Alligator mississippiensis: one gene and its partners. The protein of the gene in region 2 purifies or fractionates together with the protein of the main gene of each other region. This does not show direct contact. Links are inferred from orthologs where the notes say so. Each region holds a gene or a part of one and is shown on either strand. Other genes may lie near its edges. The genes, in order: HIF1A, FASN and E3 ubiquitin-protein ligase TRIM39-like.

Region 1 (6,959 bases), on a different chromosome or scaffold from region 2:
ATTTAAAAATCAAATTTAAAGCTGGTAAAAAAGCAAATGAGACCAACAGTAGCTTCAGATAAAATTACTGCCCCAAACCAGTTGCCAATTTTGTGGTTTTTACTGAAACAAACACCTTTTCTTTCATTACGTTAAAGCCCCATCTGCGACAGAGGAAGTTGAGTCATTGCCTGACTGTGCCTGGAAAACAGCCTGACTGTAAGTTTCATCAAAATACACTAAGGCAGATTTAAAATGTCCTCCTCACATTTATTGTATGCTTCACAACTATAGCAGGTGAAAAATATCACACCCTGCAGGAAAATATCAAGATGTAGCCGAAGAAATCTCAATACCACCAGTGACGTGTGCCAGCTCTTGGCTCATAGACAATGTACCAACAAAATGAAGAAGGGTTAAAATAGGGAAAGGGAAAAAGGGAGGACCTAGGGAATTATAGACCAATTAGCCTGACTTCAGTATTTGGGGAAATTACTAGAGCCAATTATAAAAGTTAAATGATGAATAACTGGAGAGGATAAGCACCAGTAGCCAATATGGATTTAAGAAAAAAATCTTGTCAATTTAACTTCCTTTTCTGACAGGGTAAAACATTGTGTGAATACGTGGAATTTGGTGCATTTAATATACCTGAACGTTAGCAAGGCGCTTGACATGTCATTCTCATAAGCAAGTCGGAGAAATATGGGCTAGTTATGGATCCACCTAACGGCAGTTCTAATTGGTTGAATAGCTGCAAGCGAAGCATAGCTATTAATGATGTCAGGCTGGCAAGGAGCCTCAAGTGAGATTTCCACAGGGTCCTGTTCTGGGTTGGATGCTGTTTAACATTTTTATTACTTGGATGCAGGAATACAGAATCTCATCAAAATTTGTTGGGAAGGGTTTCAAGCACTTTTCAGAATAGGATTAAAATTCAAAAGGATCTTGATAAATTGGAGAACTAGCTTGGAGAGAACAAAATGCAATCTGACCCAGACCAATGTAAGGTGCTACTTGTAGAGAAAAAAACCAAATGCAGATGCAGAACGGGGATTGGCTTGGCAGTAGCACTGCCAAGAAGCATCTGAGGTTACAGCAGATCAACCTCAACAGGAATCAGCAACTTGATTAAAAAAAGGGGGGGAGGGGGAGATTTGGGTTGTGTTCAAAGAGTTATTATACTACATTTAAAAGAGGACAGAAACTGGAGAGTGAGTGATGGAGGTAAGGCAGATGAAAAGCAATGTTGAAGAAACTAGGTATGTTTAGTTTGAAGGAAAGGAGATTAAAGGGTGGGGGGTGGAGAAGGCTGATAGCCAATTTTCAAATATTTGAAGGCAGCTATTTAGAAGATGGAGAAACACTTGCTCTCCCCTGCGACAGAGGTCAGGACAGGAGGCAAGGTTTAAATTACAGCAAAGCAGGTTTAGATCAAATCCCAGGAGAAAACGTCCTAGCTGCAAGACCTGCAGAACAAGAGAATAAATTGCTTTGAATCTCTTTCACTGGAGGATGTTTAAGGGATGGCAAATAATGAATCTGACCAGAGGTTTGTAAGTGATGATCCTTCCCACCTCTTCTAGTCTTACAATTTATAACGGTTTCTATTTAAGACAGATAACAGGTAGCAAAACGGTATTAAAGGGAGAATTCTCATAACAGCAGATTGGCCTGTTACGCTTCCTCGAGATTGCTTACTAACAGTTTTCATTGTATGGTTACATCCCTGTCCTACTTTCAGACTGGAGACAGCTGTAATGTAAGTTGTATGTTGGCGCCCATTCCCTACGCAGCCCAACAGGACCACTGCAGGACACTGCTGGAAAGCGAACGCAGACAGCGCGACGGACAAAAATCACAAGTCAAGTCCGAAAACTAAAATTTTTGCCATTTTAATAACTTCTGGTTTCATGTGAACTGGTAGCACATGACTGTTTTCTCTTTTGATGGGGGCAAGACTGGATTCAGAGTTAAGAAAAAAAATAATTACAGATTTTAAAATATTAATATATTCTCACCAAGATAGTACGCAGTGAAGACTGCTACTCAGAGGCATCTGGAAAGCTTAATAGATATCAAATGAGGCAACTAACTGGATAATTCTTATAAACTGCTTTGTGTATTAAAGAACTGGCATGTACAAGGCTCTTTAAATACACCTTGTTATTTTTAAAGGAAAGCATGAATTAGGTATCAAGTCCCTGTATTACAATTTTGCCTCGTATTTTAGACTCTTAACTCAGTGGATACTTTTGCTCCTATAATGTGTACCATATTGCCTGAATCTATAGGCTTACTAATATATAGGTACATCCTGAAAAGACAGCTTTATAAGCTTGACCTTTAAAATATGACCTGAAAATATGGTGAGCCTATGACCTCACACTTTAGATCTTTTAACACTGGTTTAACATTTACTTCTGCAGTCCTGGTTCAAAGATCTTCCTTTTTGAAGCGAGATTTGGGAGTGAGGGGAAACCAGGCAGCATTCAGGACTCTTCTGACCCTTTTCTTGGGGTATCCACATTTCTTAGATGGGGGTATAACAAGTTGTGTTGCTTGGGAAGGATTCACCCCAGGCACCAATATATTTCCTTTTCTATCGCTGAGTTTCCCTATTCTGAAAGAAGGTCTAGAGCTTCAGGAACAGCAATTCCAGCTCTATCAACTTGCTTCTCAATTAAAAAAAATTTTTTTTAAATCTCTGAAGTTGAAGGCATTACCTGGAGTGAGATGGAAAATGCCAATTTCTCAAAGACACAGGCAGGCAATAACTTGCACATGCCAAGCCTGTATCTGCATGCAGGTAGTGAGAGTGGAACCTAATCTTGCCGGATGGGCCTCCTCCCCACTTCTTCATTCCCTGGAAAGCCTTGTACCCAAATGAGCTTTTCTTCAGAAAGCTTGAAGCGCTACTGAGCTTTTCACACATTTTCATGGCTTTATCTTATTTCAGCTTATTTGGCAGCAGCATCCAACAGAATGTAAGCACGCTTGAGAAATGATCTCAGAAATTGTTCACAACCACGGTTTCATTTGAAGGCACTCTGAAAGGTTTTGTTCATCTGTAACACCTCCACATCTGTAAACGTGCCAAGAATAAGAATTGTATAAGACAAAACTAAACACTTATAATCTTTCTATACTGAGAGAATAAAAAAGACCCCTGTCTGAACCTTGGGAGGAATACCCAGTGAAGAATGGGACAAAATCTTCAGAAATGCCCAGGCTGTTGGGGAAACAACATATACTCTTGATTTCCTATACATCTATGGAGTGGCAAGCATTTATTTCTGTTTCGCATTTTTGCCATGCTGAAAATTGCAGAGAGAAACTTAAAAGCTGGCCATGTATGACAAGGCATGGAAACCACGATTCCATGACCTTACTGGTATTGTAAAGCCATGACCCAATGCAGATTTTTATATACGATGGCTAAATAAGCATCAGCCAAGTTCCAAAAGTGAGTTGCATAGATTCGACAGCAGTTACGCTATTAACTGTAGGGATTGCTGCAGTTAAGCAAAAACGGAGACAAAAAGGTATTAGAGGCTTCCACTGCATCAAAACAAAAGGCATGATATAATTTAGGGAGCAGAGTTTAAGTAAAATACGTATGTATAATATTACTATTGGCAATATTAAAGTGCCCTCTGTTAGCATTCAATTAAAGAACGTACTCGTTTTAAGTCGCACAATGTTTGGTTATAACATTGTTTGGCCACTGCCTCCTAGTAGGTAACTACTGTGATATAACTGGATTCGCTTAACATTGTTTCACTTAAAGTCACGTTTTTCAAGAACATAGCTACAACATTAAGCAAGGAGTAGCTGTATTATCAAACTAGTTTGACATTTAGTTCTTTGGACTTTTGCAAGGTTTCCAAGACTTGCTGAAAAAAGCAGCATTAACTCTCTTCTAAAACTCTTGGAATCAAGTTGTTCAGACCTGCTGATGTAAAAATACTTATCTTTTAAAAGCTACTCGTTAACATGCTAATTATTACTGTAGTAATGGCAAGCATTTCATTCTATCTCCTGAAAAAGTCATTTGTTTCCCCTCCCAAATGCAGAACAGAAATATCCATCTAACATTTCTGCCTTTTTTTGTATTACTGAAAGTACCATGCCCATCTATTAAGCACTTAATATCATATTAGGAATCCTTTTGTTCTTGATATACTTAAACTCTTTTATTGCCTTCATTTCTGCTGTCTACATGCTTCTCTTTATATATTCTTTTGCTTCCCTTATCAATTTTCTATACTACATAGTTTCTAATTGGTAGCAATTGATAATCATTTTTATCCCCCCCTTATTCATATGTTGTTTTTGTAGTTGTTTCCACGTCCGCTTCTAACCAAGCTCCATTTAAAACAACCCCCCTCCCCCCACAAAACCAGAACAAACAGTGGAGACTTCTTGCCTTGACTCTGGGATTCTGGTTGTTTGGACAATGTAGGAAAATGATCTTAAACAGTCTTCAATCAGCACTGGTATTTTTTCTTTGAAGTCTTTCTGCCTACCAAATGGGCTCTCAGTGGCTTTAAAACTGATATGTTAGGCACTCTAGAAACTAGCCTTTTTCTACATTATTGGCTTGGATTTTTTCTACAGTATTGGCTTTGCTTGCAAAGACAAATGTATAAATCAAGTCAATCACTTGTACCTAGGTAACCAAAGGAAGTTCCACTAACATAAAATTCCCCCATATGGGTGCAGCCCTTTGAGACAGAAAAATTAATCCGGACAGCATTAGATACCTAGCTTGTCACTAGTTGAGGGATCCTTATAATTCAGCATTTCTTGCAGCTCATTACAGATAGCAGGAAGGATGGCTTAGTAGTCAAGATACTGGCTTGAAATGCGGGAGACCCAGTTGCCGTTCCCTGCCCTGACACCCTGTGTGACCTTGGGAAGTCACTTAGGCTCCTTCCGCAGGACGCAGGAGGGAAGCATGCTGGTTAGAGATTCCAGCTTGCTTGTAATCCGCACTTCCACGCATACGAATGCAGTCAGGACCTCATTTTGCTTTATGTCAGAAGAGGGCTGTCCAACTTCCAAGTGCCTGGGGGCCACACACCCCTTGGTCTGCACCAGCAGGGGGCCATGAGCCCTAGGGATCACATGCCCCTCTGCTGCACTGTGCACCCAGGTGCCTCCCAATGACAACAAGGTCATTGCTTTCAAATTTGCTCTTCCCTTCTATGTGCTCAGGGAGATCAGGGTCTGACAGTAAAGAGAAAGGGGCTGCCATGGGAATAAAATGGGGGTGGGGGCAGGAAGCATAGAGCAAAGGGCCTACTTTCTCCACCCCCCCGCTCTGATTTATTTTCCCTACTGTAGCAGTGGGAAGGGGACAAATTCAAGGCAAAACATCACTAAATAGATTCTACACCTGGAAAATGTTGTATTTTCTATATATAGAATGTAATTATTGGGGTTGTAATCAGGGTTGTCTTCAAGTAAATATGGTAAGTCTTAGGGCAAATGACCTACTGCAGCAGTTCCCATCCTGTGGTACACATACCACCAGTGGTACATGGACAACCTATCAGTGGTACGTGTTAACAAATGTATTAGAATTACTTTATATGACAAAAATGTGCTGGTAGTACTTAAGGTTGTGTCATTTTAAATTGGTGGTGTGCAATCTGTCAAGAGTTTGGGAACCACTGGCCTACTGGATGAGAAGATGTGTTAAGCAAATGCAAACACCCTAGAACACTTCCTTGTTATGGCGCACCTTTAATTAGTCTTTTGCTTTGATGAAGAGAAACGACAACAACCCACCAATGAAGTCCTTGTGGTAAACAGCACAGTGTAACAGTTATTTCTCTGTGGCTGGTCTTCAGCCACGCACAATGTGTTTCCCAAAGTAACTACATAATATTTGAGTTGGTCTAATAAAAGATATCGGATTTACCCAAAGAACCTTGTCCACCAGAGTAACTAGGCTTTTAGGAATTAAATCAACAGTAAAAGTTACAATAATCCACTTGGGCCCTATCTTTAATAGGAGTGTCTAAGAACAATTAATTATGTGAGTCAGGCATGTGGAGAGGTGTGATCCCAAACCCACACAGTTATGTCAGATGAACTCCTTAATACGCATGCAGTTATACCAATAAAACCGAACTCTTACTGGTGTGGTTTGTTTGCTCAGGTGGAGCTGGATGTTTGCTACACCCGTACAAAGCTCAGCCGTGCTGGTATCCATGCTATAATAGGGAGCCAGAGGGCTCCTATTACTGAAGTTGCAGTAACCTGAGCTGGCTCCGGACAGACAGGTAGCTAATACTCTACCAGTCAGCAACCATCAGACGAACCTGTAGCGACACTGGTTGTGGCTGTTCTGGGGAGTAACTTCCCAAGGGAACAGTTGCAGGGCCACAGGCAGCAGAAAGCCCAGCGCTGCAGGCAGCTGAACGAAGCCCTGACAGGGAAAACAGGCTGGCCAGTAGCAGTAAGCTACCTTGTCAGACTAACCAGCCAGCAAGCCCAGAGACACCGGGGGGGGGGGGGCAGGCACACAGCTGACAAAGCCTGAGCCAGGGAATCCGTCTGGCTGAGCAGGCTCCAGGGAAAGGAGCTCTGCCCCAAGATGGCTGGAGCTGGAGCCATGGACTGAGACCCTGCAAGTACGGGGACTGATAGCTTATAAGGAGCTACGCCCAGGATAAGTGCTTTGCTATGCAGCCAGCATACTCAGAGCTTTGGGTCACAGTCTGTGAGCTAATTCTCTTGTTATTGGGCCGCTCGGGACTGAAGGGGAGGTGGAGGTCCCAGCAGGGCCTGAGGGGCACGTGACTACTTTGAGCCTTGCCAGGGGCTGGGCTCAAGGTGCAGACGGGGTGACCAGGCAAAACATTGCAGCCTAGAACAGAGCCAGGGGGCCCAGGAAGGGCGAGAACCACGGCCCGATATGTGAGACTAGGGGTGAAGCCCAAGAAGCCAGACCCAGTGCAGTGGGACCA
Region 2 (7,970 bases):
GACCTCTGATCATGCGCGTGGCTCTTCTCTGGACTCTCTCAAGCTTCTCCACATCCTTTTTGAATTGTGGAGCCCAAAACTGGACGCAGTACTCCAGCTGCGGCCTCACCAAGGCCGAGTACAAGGGGAGAATGACGTCCCAGGATTTGCTTGAGAAGCATCTATGGATGCAAGCCAGCATTTTGGTCACTTTACTAGCCTCAGCATTGCACTGCAGGCTCATGTTCATCTTGTGGTCAATGATGACCCCCAAGTCTCTTTCTTCCATAGTGCTAGCCAACATAGCACTGCCGAGCCTATAAGGATGCTGCGGGTTTTTCTTCCCAAGGTGGAGAACCTTGCATTTATCGGCGTTGAACACCATCAGGTTCTCATCCGCCCACTTGCTGAGCCTGTCCAGGTCAGCCTGGATCACCCGCCTGTCTTCTGGTGTGGATGCTTTGCCCCAAAGTTTGGTGTCATCGGCGAACTTGGCCAGTCCGCTTCTGACTCCAGTGTCCACATCGTTAATGAAGATGTTGAACAGTATGGGTCCAAGGACAGAGCCTTGGGGGACCCCACTGGTCACAGGACACCACGATGAGTGACGTCCATCAATTAGTACCCTCTGGGTCCGACCCCGGAGCCAATTTTCCAGCCAGTGGATCGTGGAGGACCCAAGGCGACAATTGGCCAGTTTCACCAAGAGGCAATCATGGAATACCAGATCGAAGGCTTTTTTTGAAGTCAAGATATATGACATCAATCTCTTCTCCCTTGTCCAGGTGATAGGTCACCTGGTCATAGAAGGAAATGAGATTGGTCAAGCAAGACCTACCCACAACAAACCCGTGCTGGCTATCCCTTAAGATGTTGGCGTCGGCCAGTCCATTAAGGATGGCCTCTTTAATAAACTTTTCTAAGACCTTCCCCGGGATAGAAGTCAGGCTGATGGGCCTATAGTTAGCCGGATCCACTTTCCTCCCTTTCTTGAAGATAGGCACCACGTTGGCCTTCTTCCGGTCTTCGGGCACGACACCAGAGTGCCAAGAGTTTTCAAAGATCCGTGCTAGAGGCTGGGCTATGATGCTTGCCAGCTCCTCGAGTACCCTGGGGTGAAGATTGTCAGGGCTGGCTGACTTGAAGGTATCCAGCTTCTCAAGATGTTCCTTCACGAAGTCAGCATTAGTGGAGGGCAGGGGATCACCCTCACACGGACTTCCCGGCCCTGTAGTGGGCACGGGCGTCCCATGGGACTGATTAAAGACCGACACAAAGTACCTATTTAATAGGTTGGCTTTTTCCCGGGCGTCAGTTGTCAGTTGCCCCATCTGGTTCAGCAGGGTCCAATGTTGCCCCTGCTTTTCCTCCGGCTCCCCACATATCTGAAAAAGGACTTTTTATTGTCCTTGATGCTCAAAGCTACTTGGAGTTCAGTTGCAGCCTTGGCTTTCCTGGTCTGCTCCCTGCAGGACCGGACCAGTGCAAAATAATCCTCCTTGGAGATGACTCCCATCCTCCATCCTTTGTAGGACTTTCTTTTTAGCCTCAGGAGGTCTGCTAGGTCCCTGGAGAGCCAGGGGGGCTGCTGCGCCCTCTTGCTGCCTTTCCTCCAAGATGGAATAGACTTAGTTTGTGCATTGAGGATTGCTCCCTTGAGGAGCAACCACTCTTCTTGAACTCCCCTCTCCGTGGTCATGGTCCCTTAGGGCCTCACTGACAAGCCTCCTGAGCTTGTCAAAGTCGGCTTTGCTGAAGTCCAGGACTTCCGTGTAAGAGTCAGAAGAAAGAGAACACCACATCCTATCAGGTCTGGTAGAATCCATCCTCACCAAAGCTCATACATAGGCTCCAACCCTGCTGCAGGTGTTTGGGAGCTAGAGTTTACAGCTGTGGGAAAGCTTAGGGATCTGGGCTCCATTTCATTCTGATGGTGGTAAGATTCATTGCCATCTTGCTGTTCAGAAGTGAGTTCATCATCACAAGCCCTAGTCTCACCCTTGTAGTTGATGATTCTATTATTCCAGGATGAATGCCCTATGCTGAGAGCAAACATCATCCTGGTGGGTAAAAGCAAGGCTAAGTGGAGCCTTCAAAGGATGCTTTGAAGACCAGGACCAAATTCTTGGATTTGATTCAGCATTTAACATTCAGCAGTTAACGAGAAGCTAGTGTTGTGAGCAAAGTCCTGTGGTGTTATGCTTACAGAAACCTGGATTGAATCTAGGTAACTCGGAAACGCTTGGAATCGATAGTGACTCACGATACGCAGAAAGATATTGTATGTTTTTAAATATTAAAGGTTTTGTCACTGATTTGTACAGAGGGAATGTTCAGAACTGACAAAAGGTGTCCAGAGAGGCCTTTGGAAACTGCTTTCCAGGGTTAGCTAAATAGCAACACCATTTTCTGCCCTTAATGTCATCGCTGCAAGCACATGGCAAGCACGCTAAAACAGCCACACTAGAATCATAACTCTAAACCAGGTACTGTGTTGCATTTGATACCACTTGAAAGTAGCCTCTTCTGCAGCTCAAAAGTAGTTTTGCTACCCATGGTTGCAAATGTTTTGTTTTTTGCTAGATTCCTCACAAATATGATATGTGTATGGGTGGGTGCCAAGATTTGGCCCTTATATTCTGTATTCAGCATGGTCTTCAGGTATTGTTTTTATGTTTGAAGCCCTGGTATTCATACTTTTGTTGATTGATTGATCATTGACATATTCCTTGCTGTTTTATATATATATATATATTTTAAAGCATGTCAGTTCCATAAAAACTACACAATCCTAGAGCCACACTCAAGCCCAGATCATGCATCTTTTTGGCTGAGGCGAAACATCAATGCCGGTTGACAACACTTACCTTTATGAGAAAAACTGCACTTATCATTTTTCTCCTTCTGACTGAGTCCTTACACCACAGTCATGCTTCAGCTGGTACTCTTTTTCCATGTTCACATGCATATTTTTAATTCCTCCAAGGAGTTCTGTGAATTTCCTAGGTTTGATCCTATATTGCTTTCCTTAAAAACACAGTGGGAGGTACAGAGCTGAGATTGTCCCTTTCCTCTCAAAGTGTGGTTGGGCAGCTAACTCTTAGGCATGCTGCTGTCCCTGCTGCCCTGAATAGCAGTGGCTGAAGCACTGTTTCAGAGGGGGCTGGTGGAGGCTGGCAGGAGGACGTGGCTGCAGCTTTGCTCCTGTGGAGCTGAGGAGTTCCATGTGGCTGGGGTCCTTCCTACGACCTTCCTCCAAGTCTTGCAGAAGCAGAGTGTATCTTAGGAGTCTTGGCGGGCAGAAGCAGAGTATCTTAAGAGTACCTTCTACCTTAGGAGTACCTACTACCTTCTTCCAGGCCTTGCAGAAGCAGAGTGTATCTTAGGAGTCTTAAGGGGCAGCTGCTCCAGTGGAATCCCACCACTCCTTGGAGTTTAGGTGATTTCCAGTTCTTATTTCTAAGATTTATGGTGGTGCTTGATATGCTTGTACATATTTGGCTTCATTAAGCTTTTAACAGTCATCTTTTAAAGGAAAAATGTTCCCCCTCTCACACTAGAATGATATGTATAGTGAGTGTTATGCTTTGGGTAACATTAAATCTGTAATGCTAAAACTGAAAAAAATATTACGTTATTTCATAGTTGTCATTCACTGATACAGTGCCAGTCTTTGATTTTTAGCTTCAGTCTCACGTGCCAGGCAGTACAAAGGGCCCCCGTCAGATCTTTATTGCAGAAAGGGCAAATAAATTCAGAACTGAGGTTTCAAACACCTTAGCCTTGCTTCTAACCAAGTGTGATAATGGGGTCTTGTCTTCTGAGACACAGAAAATACATGGAGCAATGTAAAAATGCACAATGTAAATCCATTTAACGGTAACACATGTTAAATACAAGCCCATAGTATATGGTCCAATTTAGGAGACAAACATTAGTAGCAGATGCTTCAGACTTACCTGAATTTGAATGTTGCACTAACATCATGTTTGCATTTGGATGCTGGAGTATCTACGATCCGTGGCCCAACCCTTCTCCATTGTGAAACCATTTGCATGTTTTGCTCTCTCAGGCGCGTGCATCGCAGGGCTGGGGCCAGCACGCAGAAGCCGAGGGACGGCCCGCAGCCACTGTTGCCTCAGCCGTGCTTCCCGCACTAAGCACCGCCTGACTGGATAGCGCTTCTCTGCTCTTCATTCCTGACCCCTTTTCTCACAGGAAAAAGAAAACGTGCACGCGTTCATGCGGCCGGACGTCCTCTGCTTCTCCCAGACGCGTACGTCTGCCCGCAGGGACGCAGCACCCTGGGAGGCCCGGAGAGTTTTGCTGACTCACGCCGATGTAAAATCGACCTGAGTCCCGCAGCAGCCGGCGAGCCGTGCCGCGCCGCGCCGCGCGTCCGCCAGCGCCTGCGGGAACGGGCTCCTCGTCTACCCTCACAGGAAGCCCGAGCATCAGTTCGTATCTGTATAGACTTGAACACAACTGCCACGTGCGAGTTTAAACCAGCATTAACGATGGCCTAGACCACTATGGCGGTAACGAGGGTAAGCGGCCTGGACCGCAGCTCCTTGCGCTCGAGGGTTTATTGTTATTCACAGCATCGTTTCCTGAAGCCAGTGGAGCCACCGAGGAAACCGGTGTAGTCCCAAGTAGAGCAAGTGCCTCGTGGCCTTCCCGCCGGCCCCTCGCCCTTCTCCCGGGCTGGCTGGCTGCCCGTCGCCCTGGCGCTGATTTCCTCGCGGCCCGGCAGAAATGGAGCCGGGCTTTCCGCTCCACATCGGCAGAGAAAACGGCGGGCGGGCGGGCGGGGCGGGGCGGGGCCGGCAGCGTTGCCGGGCAGCTCGGGCGGCGCCTCACTCCCGCCCGGGCCCGGGCGCTTCCTCCGCCGCAGGTCACGTGGTGCCGGCCGGCTGCGCGCGCAGGGGCCCGGGCGTTGCCATGACGACGCGGCCTGGTCGGCGGGACGGGGCGGGACGCGCCGCCGCGGCCTGGAGCAGGAGGCCGCCCCGCCGCAGCCGCGGGAAGGGCCGCGTCCCGGTGCGGCCGAGGCGGCGCTCACGCCCGAGGCGCTTCTGCGCTGCACCGTGTCTGCGCGCACGTCCCGGGGAGGAGGAGGCCCCTCCGCGCCGAGGCCCAGGGGCGCTCCGAGGGCCCCGTGCTCGTGCGGGCCGAGCCCTGCTGCCCCGCGCTAGGGGGCCGGCCGTGCCGGGCCTGCCCGTCAGGAGGCGGTGAGTAGCAGGCGCGGGAGCACGGCCCGCCCGCCCGCCCGCGGCCCGCAGCAGGGGCCAGCTCCGCAGGGCGCTGGAGGGCACAGCCAGCCTGCCCTGGCGCCGTGCCTGGATGCCAGGCAGCTGCCTCGGACACGCCTGGCCTGGCCTGGCCTGGCCTGGTAGCAGGGGCTCCGCAGTCGCTGCCCGACGAGGCGTGTGTCTGCGCGAGTGTCGCGGCGTGGCGTCTCGCGATGTGAAGGATGTGGGGCTGGTGCGGGTGGCGACTGAGCCTTTGGGGAGGACGAGAGTTTGCCCGTCACGGGAGAGGCGACGGGCCTGCCCCTGCGCGCCTCGCTCTGCTGCTGCGTTGCGCTGCCGAGCGAGCAGGGGCTCGGGAGCTCCTGGGTCGGAGCTGCAGGGCGGTGCAGCAGTACCGGACCCGACGCCTCGCTCTGTCCACACAGACGTTTTTACTGGTTACCGTGCTACAGTTCGCAGCACGAGTGTTAGAGACCCAGGACATTGGCGCAGGTGCTCTGCAAAAGTCCATAGCAGTTTCCTCGACCCTCTTTAGAAACGCCTCCTGAGGTTTTGATACCTGCAGACCGTGTGAGTATCGATGCTGTGGGTGGCAAATACTTTTGTACTCGTTTAGGGTGCCTTTCCGGGACATGCAGTTGCTCACTGGGGGAAAAATAGTTTCTAGCAGCTTCTGGAAGGTGTGTTTTCTCTTCCGTGTACACATGTATGACCCCAAGGTATCTCACAACGTGAGCGGATCCCAGTGTTGGGTCCTTGGGCAAGAGCAACACTTTCCCGTCGACCCTCCACTGACTGACTTGTTCACGTTTTGTGGATAAGGTAACTTAATTATAGTTTAGAGGCTACAAATGCTCTTAACTTGCTAGTATTGTTAAAATAGCCAAATGTTTGAGAAAACAATTCGCCTGCTATATAGTAATTTTGGAATTGTAGACTTGAATGACATTTTCAGTAAAATAAAAGATTTAAATATTCTAAACTTGTTGCTCCTTAGCCCCCTTTTAATATATTATGACTTCAGATAACTGACATTTAAGAGGAGGCAGTAGCGAGGCAGTGAGCTGGAAGGTCTTATTTTTGGTCCCTTTGGACTGTTACAAAGGTCTTGTGTAAAGATTGTATTGCTAAGTTTAGCCAATGAAGCACATGTCAGGGTTTTTAAAGGGCACTTATGACAGTGTTTTGATATCGCCCTGTACATGGGCTGGCACCATAGACTCTTATATAGCAGTGCAGAAACTGTTCAGTGCATTAGACATATTTTGAGATAAATGGATTCTGAACTAATGACAGTACTGTTCCTTTTTTTACATAATAAGCTTGGTGCTTGTTCATTCCTGCATTAGAATTACGTTACTTCATATTTTTAGCTGTGGTAAAAGCCAAATGCATTTGGACCAGCTACAGCTGAGAAGAGTAAAAGGGAGATATAAAAAGGATAGACCTTTCTGTTATGTTGTCCAATAAGCACTTCCAGTAATGTTGCTGCTAGTAGAAAATCTCAATCTTTGCCTACTCCACTGGAAAAGATAACATTTATAAAAATGTAAATAAATGCCTTCTCCAGATATATCCAACTACCAATTTTAATCTAAAGAGAGCATTCACTTAATTTTTCTTTTCTTAGCGAAGACTAAGAAAACTGATGGGAAAACTGAGTCAAAGGAATTAAAAAAACGATCGGACCACTGAGTCCTGTAGTCTAGCTTCTTCCCTTTAGTAATAGCTATTACTTGACGCATCATAAAAAGGCAAAGCTCTGTCTGACTACTGTGCTTGTCACTTCCACCCTGATTCCCACAGCCCCGCACCCTAAAAATGAGATTTGTCTGGTCTTTGTTGAAAGAAATGATGTTTAAATTGTGGCATCCTTTTGGAGCAGGGATATTTTTATAAGGTTGACTGATCTCAAAATCTCTCTTGGATTTTAAGAGATTAAAAAGCCACCACTGGAAAGACACGCTTGTCTGAGTTATTGTTCTGTGCATCCCCATGTGTATGCGGACAGGATTATCTGACATGACCAACACAGAATAGCATTGCACTGTGAGAGAAACTGTACTGATTTCAGAGATTTAGGGAAACAGGCTAAGTGGATGTTATCATTTATTATTTTTATAGGACCAGGAAGTATGAATGGCACCTTAAAGCACAAATGAAGTCATGGTCTGTCCTCTGAAGATTTGGGTACAATAGTATATAGTGATGCGAATGAGCAAGTTTAATAAACAGTAGGAAGAGATTGAAGTGAGGAAGAAGAGTTACATGTGAATTCTCACTTTAAGTTTTTGCACCTCTTGATAGTTCCAGTAAAAAAAAAAAATTAAAATATATGTGTTATTGATTCATATCACATGGACATTGTGAGAATGCACTGTGGATGTATTTGAATGAAGGAAGATAAATGGTTTGACAGACTCAAATTAGAAGGAAATGATATGGGGGAAAAAAGGGGTACCAAGGTGTTTGTGGGAGAAGATGATAAATGGCCCATTGGGGTTGGCCTCATAAGCAGAATGAAAGGTTCAGGTAGGCTGTGCAGTAAGAGAGCCAGTTAGTTGGATTACAATTTGAGTAAAATTACCACAGATGTCTTTAAGAAGAAAAAAGGCATGTACGATCCATATCTCTGCAAGTCTGAAGTGGGTGGTGGCAACCCTGGACAATGGGAAACTATGGCTGTCTTTTCCAAGGGGCACTGGGAAAGGCAACGTTTAGGATTTTGTTGTGGAGCTT
Region 3 (7,214 bases), on a different chromosome or scaffold from region 2:
CTGGTTAAACTTACTTCCACACCTCCCATCACAAGCTCTGCCCTCATTACCATGGCATTGCCTATGCATGTCATTCATTTACATGCCTCTCTGCTAAGAACCCAAGTGTAAAGCCATGCATTCAGCTTTTCTCAGTCACTTGCTGATTCTTCCTGGTTTCTTGCTGACTTTAGCAGCCTCTCCAAGGTTTTGCTTCTAATTTATCTCCTGATGATAGCTGGTGGGCTGCATCTTCTTCTTCTTACGCAATGGGCTCTGTACTTTACAACACTACAACCTTGTTAGAAAACTGCTTGCCTAAACGTTTGCAAGGCTATTTTTAATACATCATTCTTCCTTGCGGGCAGCAGCTCTGCTGAGATGCAGAAAAAAGCCATTATTCAACTGGAAATCCAGTGCTTTCCAAGATATCAATATTGTAACCCTAGCAGTTGGGAGAATCAGGGCTGGGCAGACCTCAGGCTGGGGCAGGGTTATAGTCCTGGGTGTCAGATCCATGGTCAGATTTCCCCTGTCTCCTTTCCCACAGGTGCTCCTGGAGACCGGATACTGCCGACAGGAGCCGTGCATGAGTGCACAGGGAGCGAGAGCCCAGGCCCCCGACCGGTGAGATCCCTGCTGGGGAGACGTGGCTGCTGCACTGGAGCCTGTGGCAGCCATGGGCCTTCCCTTCCTGGCAGGAGCTGGAGGAGCAGGACCCAGGAGGTGTGCAGGTGGGGCTGAGGGTGCAGAATTGCCTCGTGTCGTCCAGACCGAAGCCGGTCCAGCACCAAGAGCTCTGGAGACAGGACGCAATGCAGGCCATGCAGCCCCCTTGTGAGGCCGAGCTGCCCTCCACGACCCCACAGCTGGCAGCACGGGATGAGCTCCCCACCCCAGAGCCCTGGCGCCAGCTCTTCCGTGGCCTGTGCTACCGGGAAGCTGAGGGCCCAGGGAAGATTTGCAGCCACCTGCGGGAGCTGTGCTGGCGCTGGCTGGAGCCCCAGTGCCGCAGCAAGGAGCAGATGCTGGAGCTGGTGGTGCTGGAGCAGTTCCTGGCCATCCTGCCCCCGGAGATGCGGAGCTGGGTGTGCGGGTGCCGCGTGGAGACGTGTGCCCAGGCCATGGCCCTGGCCGAGGGGTTTCAGCTGGGGCAGGCGGAGGACGAGAAGCTCCAGGTGAGAGCCTTTGTTTGGTGCCATCTGCACTTCCACGTGTCAGGGGATGTTTCCCCCAGATCCTGGCTCCCCAGTGACATTAGGCATTAGCTTGCCATTAGGTTGCCTTTTTTGCCACAATCTCCTCACTTACACTTCGGACAGCTGAAAGCAGGGACCTAGTGAGCTCTTAATTCCTAGGTATCCTCTTGCTAAGATCTGCAGACTTCTGGATGGCTTGGGAATCAAATGCTGTGAGAGCTTTGATCTCTGTTCCCAAGCAAGAAGAGCAGAAAGGTTTCCTGGCTGGGGCAGTATTAAAAGTGTAATGACGCAAATCAAAACGCTGCACCTCTCTTCAGATATCTGCACAGCATGCTCCAACAGTATGGATGACAGAGCTGTGACCTGGTGTCTGTGTGGTGTGGGTTGCATTGTGCAAGCATGAGAAGGAAAAGTTCAGAGAGATGAAGGCGTCTTCTAGGGCCCTACAACTTGAGAGTGCTGGTGCTGAATGAGAAGAGTCTCATCATGTCCATCCCCCCACTTTGAAAGGTGTATATAATAATGAAGAGTCAATAATATATTAATAAAATTCCAATATAATGATGTCTGTCTATCTTTCTGTCTGTCCATAATGCTTTTGTTTGTGTGCATGCACTGCTGAGATAGGGTTTCCATACATCTGGGTTTCCCCAGACATATCCCTGCTCTTCTTAAGTCCTCTGATCTCCATCCAGGTGGGCTGTCTGGGATTTCCCTTTGCTCTGGGGGTGGGAGCAGGGAGAGCCTGATTGGAGGCAGCAGGAGCACACACAGACCTGCCTGCAGCTGTGGAGGCAGCAGACCCATGCACTGCTCCCTGCTGCCTGCGATCCCCTCCCTCTGCCACCCCCAGAGCAAAGCAGAAATGCAGACATGATCAGGGCGGGGAGATCGGGGGCTACAGCTGTGATGGGGTGGGGGCAGAGGAGAGTGGCCTGTTCTCCAGTAGGGAAAGGGCAGGGGGCAGCGGGGAACTCATCATTCATTCCTGCCTGTGGCAGGGGGTCAGTCTAGATGCTCTGTTCAGGTCCCTCCTGACCCAAGCTACTATGAAACTATGAAACTATTAAACTTCATGGCTGGGCGGCCATGCAGAGATTGGTGCCTGTGCTCGGAGGGGCTGAGCGGCCAGGAGTCGCTGCGCGGGGAAGGGGGAGAGGGGGGTTGCCCTGGCCAGGCTGCCCACAGGGCACTGAAGCCCCATCCCAGGGCAGGGGATGCCACTAGCCTCCCCTCCTCTCCCCTCAGCCTGTGCTGGGGATGGACACCCTCCACCACCGCCTGCATGAATCGGAGCCACCGCACTCCATCCTGGTCAGGACGGGGACAGCTGGGGCCCTCTGGCAGGGCTGGTGGGGGTAGGGGGCCGTGGGTTGGGAGTGAGGGGCATCGGGGATGGGGGACTGTGGGTTGGGAGTGCAGGGGGCACTGGCAGTGCCAGAGGACTGCAGGTCTGGAGTGAGGGGCACCATCATGGCCCGGGGGTCAGGGTACGGCAGTTCGGTGAGTGAGGGGCACCGGCAGGGCAGGGTGAGTGGGTTGGGAGTGAAGGGCAGCAGCAAGCATGGCGGGGCTGTGGCTTGGCAGTGGGGGGAAGCAGAATGGGTAGAGGCAGGGCCACACTTCGGGGCCGGCCATGTAAACACTCCTTTGAAATCCATCCTTCATGATGGGCGATTAGCTAGTATTCAAGTATATTTTAATAATAGATAATATTTATATAATGTATTTACCTTTCATTTTCTCACACCATCTTTTCTAGGCAATAAACTATGATCTCACTATTGAACTGATAAAAAAGCACCTTTGATCTTGCGCCTTGAGTTGACCACATTTACCACTGAACTCACCATCTTGAATGCAGGAAAGGGATGGGCTGCGAACCTTAGACCCAGAAGAAATAAAGCAGAGAAGTTTAATCAAGAACTCACTCTTATCAATCCAAGGCCTATTACTCACTGCGTACTTGTTGGCAGGTGAACTGCTCAGCTGTCCCTTTGCCCAGAAACAGAAATGGGGCAGATGAGACAACTTTATTGTGAGTTTTGAGTGCTTCCATGAACATGGAGCAAGCTTCTTTGCATCTACCCTGTGGTTAGGGCACGAACAGGGGCAGTTTCCATGCCATGCCAGGTACCATGGTGGAGGAACTGACCCCAAGTTCACAATCAAGCTTTCCTTACAGTAACGGGACCTCAAACCCTTCTTTCCTTCTCTGGGCACCTGCTGCTCCAAGTGCGTGGGGAGTTTGAGATCCCTGATCTTGGTGTGTGACCTACTGGCTGGCTTGTCAGGCTGCAGGAAGCTGCTCTCTGTCTAGCTCAGGGGTCAGCAATGTTTTTGGGCAGAGTGCTAGAACATCCACAAACTCTACCTGTAAGATGCTGGTGGGCCAGGGGCAAATGGCCGGGGAGCCATGATGGGCCCAATCCTTCTTGTGGCAGTGCCAAACCAGCCCTTTCGCTGCTGTCTGCCCTGAGGCACACATGCCAAGCACAATGCCTTTACGTGTCACACTCTGGAACCTGTGCTAGGATTGCTAACCCCTCATCCAGCTTGTAGGCACTATCGGATAGCTCCACTTCCACAGAGCTGGGGTGCCCCTGGGGTGATAACAAATGCCTTCAGGTCCTGGGCATCACAGCTGGCAGAGGTCCCATAAGGTGAGGACAGCTATGCAGGGGTTGACGGGGGAGAAATGAAGGGAACAGCCCTGTGACAGGCTGGTTTCTGCCCCACTGGCCTGAGGTCTGGGCTCACTTCCCTTGTGTGGATGCTGGACCCAGCTCTCTGTAATGCCTGGGAAGGCTGATGGACCCCGTTAGTGTCAGGATGGCTCTAAGGGACTGTGTGGTGTCTCCGTAGCTCCCTGTGCCACAGGCCTGATGAGAACCTGTGATCATCTTCTGCCCTTGTGAGTCCTAAGCACAATCTCCAAACCTGTGCCACCTCTGGGCAGAATGGCACGCAGCTGGCCTGGCACAGGTGGGACTTAAGGGGTGAGAATTAGAGCAACAACTGGGAAATTCATGTTTGGAGTCACTGGTTGCAGGATGGGAAATTAAAATAAATTGAAATTTTAAAAATCCTGCATCATGTTGAAGGCACTGCACAGCGCACTGATGGAGTGTACTGTTTCCTGCGTGTTTGTGAGTCAGGGGTGGTTTCTCATCTCTGCCCCCCTGCCTGTGAACAACCTGTCTCCCCTCCCTTTCTCCTCCCTGCCTCTATTGTTCCTTGCCCTCATCCCTCCTTTCTGTCCACTCAGGTTACTTCTTCCTTTTGCTGTCCCTTTGCCCCCATGGCCCCTCCTCTCTGTTCTTAGAAGTGCGCTTAGAGGAAATCACCTTCTGTTCTCAGGTAGGCACCACCCAGGACAAGCCCAGCCTGCACAGAGCACAAAGAACAATCAGCAGAAGACGGGGCCGTGCAGCCTCAGACCCTCCAGGACAGGACATGGCTGAAGAGGCCACCTGCTCCATCTGCCTGGACCTCCTGAAGGAGCCGGTGACCATAAACTGTGGACACAACTTCTGCCAAGTCTGCATCACCCGATACTGCGAGGACCGTGTCGATGACTCAGATGACCCTGTCCCCTGTCCCAGCTGCAGAGCAGAATTTCAGAGAGGGAGCTTCCCGCTCAACACTCAGCTCAAAAACCTGGTGGAGAAGATTAAAGAGCAGAGTGTGAAACCAGGAAAGGAGCAGACGGAGAATCACTGTGTGGAGCACGAGGAGAAACTCAAGCTCTTCTGTGAGGAGGATGGAAATGCCATCTGTCTGATCTGCAGGGAGTCCCTGGCTCACCACAGTCACACAGTGCTCCCCATCCAGGAGGCTGCCAACAATTACCAGGTAGGTGACACCAAAGACCTAGGAAAGCCCATTGCACAGACACACACTTACCTGGCAGGAGACATCCCATGATTGGTTTCAGCTCAGGTGGTTGTTCTTATCAGGCAAAGGCAATCCCCTTCTCTTCGTCTGTGAATGACTTAGTGTAGCTGAGTTGAAGGTCTATCTCTTGCACTGCAGGCAAGCTGACCTCTGAGAGAGTCTGCAAATGCCTCCCGATGCAAAGATTGGCTCATTGGTCGCACCCAGAGAGGGGTGGTGGACAGATCGGTTTTGTCATGGAGGGATATGGGCAGTGGAGTTCCCCAGGGCTCGGTCCTCGGGCCTGTGCTATTCAACATGTTTATCAGTGACTTGGAGTGGGCGTGGAAAGCACACTGTCCAACTTCAGTGATGACACAAAGATGTGGGGCGAGGTGGGCACACTGGAGGGGAGGGGAGGGACAGAACCCAACTAGATCTAGACAGGTTACAGAGGTGGGTGGATGAGAATAGGATGGAGTTCAACGCAGACAAGTGCAAGGTGCTGCATCTAGGCAGAAGGAACCAGCAACACACCGGTAGGCTGGGGAATACCTTTCACAACAACACAGCTGCTGAAAGAGATCTTGGAGTCATTGTTGACTCCAAGACAAACATGAGCCACCAATTCAAGGAAGCAGTCAGGAAGGCTAACGCACCTTCTTGTCATGCATCCACAGATGCATCACAAGCAGGGCCAAGGAGGTGATCCTCACCATCTATGTGACACTGGTCAGGCCGCAGTTGGAGTACTGCGTCCAGTTCTGGGCGCCACAACTCAGGAGGGATGTGGCCAGCATCGAGAGGGTCCAGAGAAGGGCCACTCGCATGACCAGGGGGCAGCGGGGCAGGCCCTCCAAGGATAGACTAAAGGGCCTGAATCTATTCAGCCTCCACAAGAGAAGACTGAAAGGGGACCTGGTGGCCATCTATAAACTCACTGGGGGGACCAGTGGAAAATAGCTGATGCTCTGTTCCCTCAGGCACCACCCAGGATAGCAAGGAATAACAGCCACAAATTGATTGAGAGCAGGTTCAGCCTGGATATCAGGAGGTATTTCTTTATGGTTAGGGCTGTCAGACTCTGGAATGGGCTCCCAAGGGAGGTGGGGCTCTCCCCTACCTTGCGGGTCTTCAAAGGGAGGTTGGACAGATATCTGGCTGGGGTATTATGATCCCAGCACTCGTTCCTGCCCAGGGCAGGGGGTCAGACTTGATGATCTGTTCAGGTCCCTTCTGACCCGAGTAGGTATGAAACTATAAGATCTTGAACAGAAAACTTAAGTTGATGAGGAATAGCTCTTGGGCTTGCCTTTAGCTTGCTCCTTTGGCCTTTTGGAAAAATGAAATTAGTGGGCACCTGAACTCCAAGGCCTCTGGGCTTGTGGCTTGCACATAGGATGCTTGCCATGGATTTGGCATTATCTGAAGCCCCAACCTGAAGTGTCTGCAAGGGAGAGTACTTGCTGGTGGTAGCACCACATGGCCATGAATGATTGAGCTCTGCTTAGTTGATAGGATTGAGAACTAATTTGGCCAAAGAGATAACATTTTAAAAAAGAAATACATTTTGTCTAGTGCAAGGTGTGGAGAAATCACCCAGCCCCCAGCCCCCCCCCCGAGTAAATCGCCCAGTATAGCGGGGGAGAGGCACCTTCTGGTCACTGAATCATGCTCTGGGCCTCCAGAATTCCCTGGACATGGATGTGAGTAACTTACCTGAAATCTAGTGAGGAACTTAGATTGAGGTGCTCTAGTCGCATATCAAAAGGTTAACCAGCTTATATTGATTTGCTCAAAATGGGTTTTCTTTCTGTATGCTGCTGTGTGCATCCCTCTCTCACCTTATCCCTCTTTAATAAATAAATTGACCTGTTTTAGCACGCCCCACTGTGTGTGCTTAAGAGAGAAGGGATACCCCTGCTAGCTCACTTTGCTAGGCTTGCTAAGGTGGACTTGAATTTTCTACTTTCCTTCTGTATGAAAGATGCACCCCCAAATCCCACGGTGGGTTAAGCAGACCCAAGATCTTTAGGGTCTGTGTACCCCAGGTGGCACAGAGACCTAACAAAGATCTGAGTCCAGGTGGTGACAGCAGTTATGCCAGGCTTGTGAATGGGCTCCAGGGAGGGGGTTGGCTGGATGTAGGCACCCCAG

The links.
Region 1: the proteins of FASN (region 2) and HIF1A purify together in Homo sapiens (affinity purification with western blotting; 3 studies listed by BioGRID and IntAct, with this or other methods). This does not show direct contact. The link is inferred for Alligator mississippiensis from reciprocal best matches to the Homo sapiens genes FASN and HIF1A.
Region 3: the proteins of FASN (region 2) and E3 ubiquitin-protein ligase TRIM39-like purify together in Homo sapiens (affinity purification with western blotting; 3 studies listed by BioGRID, with this or other methods). This does not show direct contact. The link is inferred for Alligator mississippiensis from reciprocal best matches to the Homo sapiens genes FASN and TRIM21.

What each region holds. Positions count from the first base shown.
Region 1 is NC_081825.1:297,678,563-297,685,521, reverse strand, and holds the start of HIF1A (hypoxia-inducible factor 1-alpha), read right to left. Parts: upstream 3,039-6,959; 5' UTR 2,921-3,038; coding exon 2,706-2,920; intron 2,162-2,705; exon of another isoform or gene 1,724-2,161; intron 199-1,723; exon of another isoform or gene 138-198; intron 1-137.
Region 2 is NC_081831.1:197,483-205,452, forward strand, and holds the start of FASN (fatty acid synthase), read left to right. Parts: upstream 1-4,926; 5' UTR 4,927-5,210; intron 5,211-5,656; exon of another isoform or gene 5,657-5,801; intron 5,802-7,970. UniProt on the Homo sapiens protein: Fatty acid synthetase is a multifunctional enzyme that catalyzes the de novo biosynthesis of long-chain saturated fatty acids starting from acetyl-CoA and malonyl-CoA in the presence of NADPH.
Region 3 is NC_081824.1:485,826,137-485,833,350, forward strand, and holds the start of E3 ubiquitin-protein ligase TRIM39-like, read left to right. Parts: upstream 1-4,141; coding exon 4,142-4,166; intron 4,167-4,506; coding exon 4,507-5,036; intron 5,037-7,214. UniProt on the Homo sapiens protein: E3 ubiquitin-protein ligase whose activity is dependent on E2 enzymes, UBE2D1, UBE2D2, UBE2E1 and UBE2E2.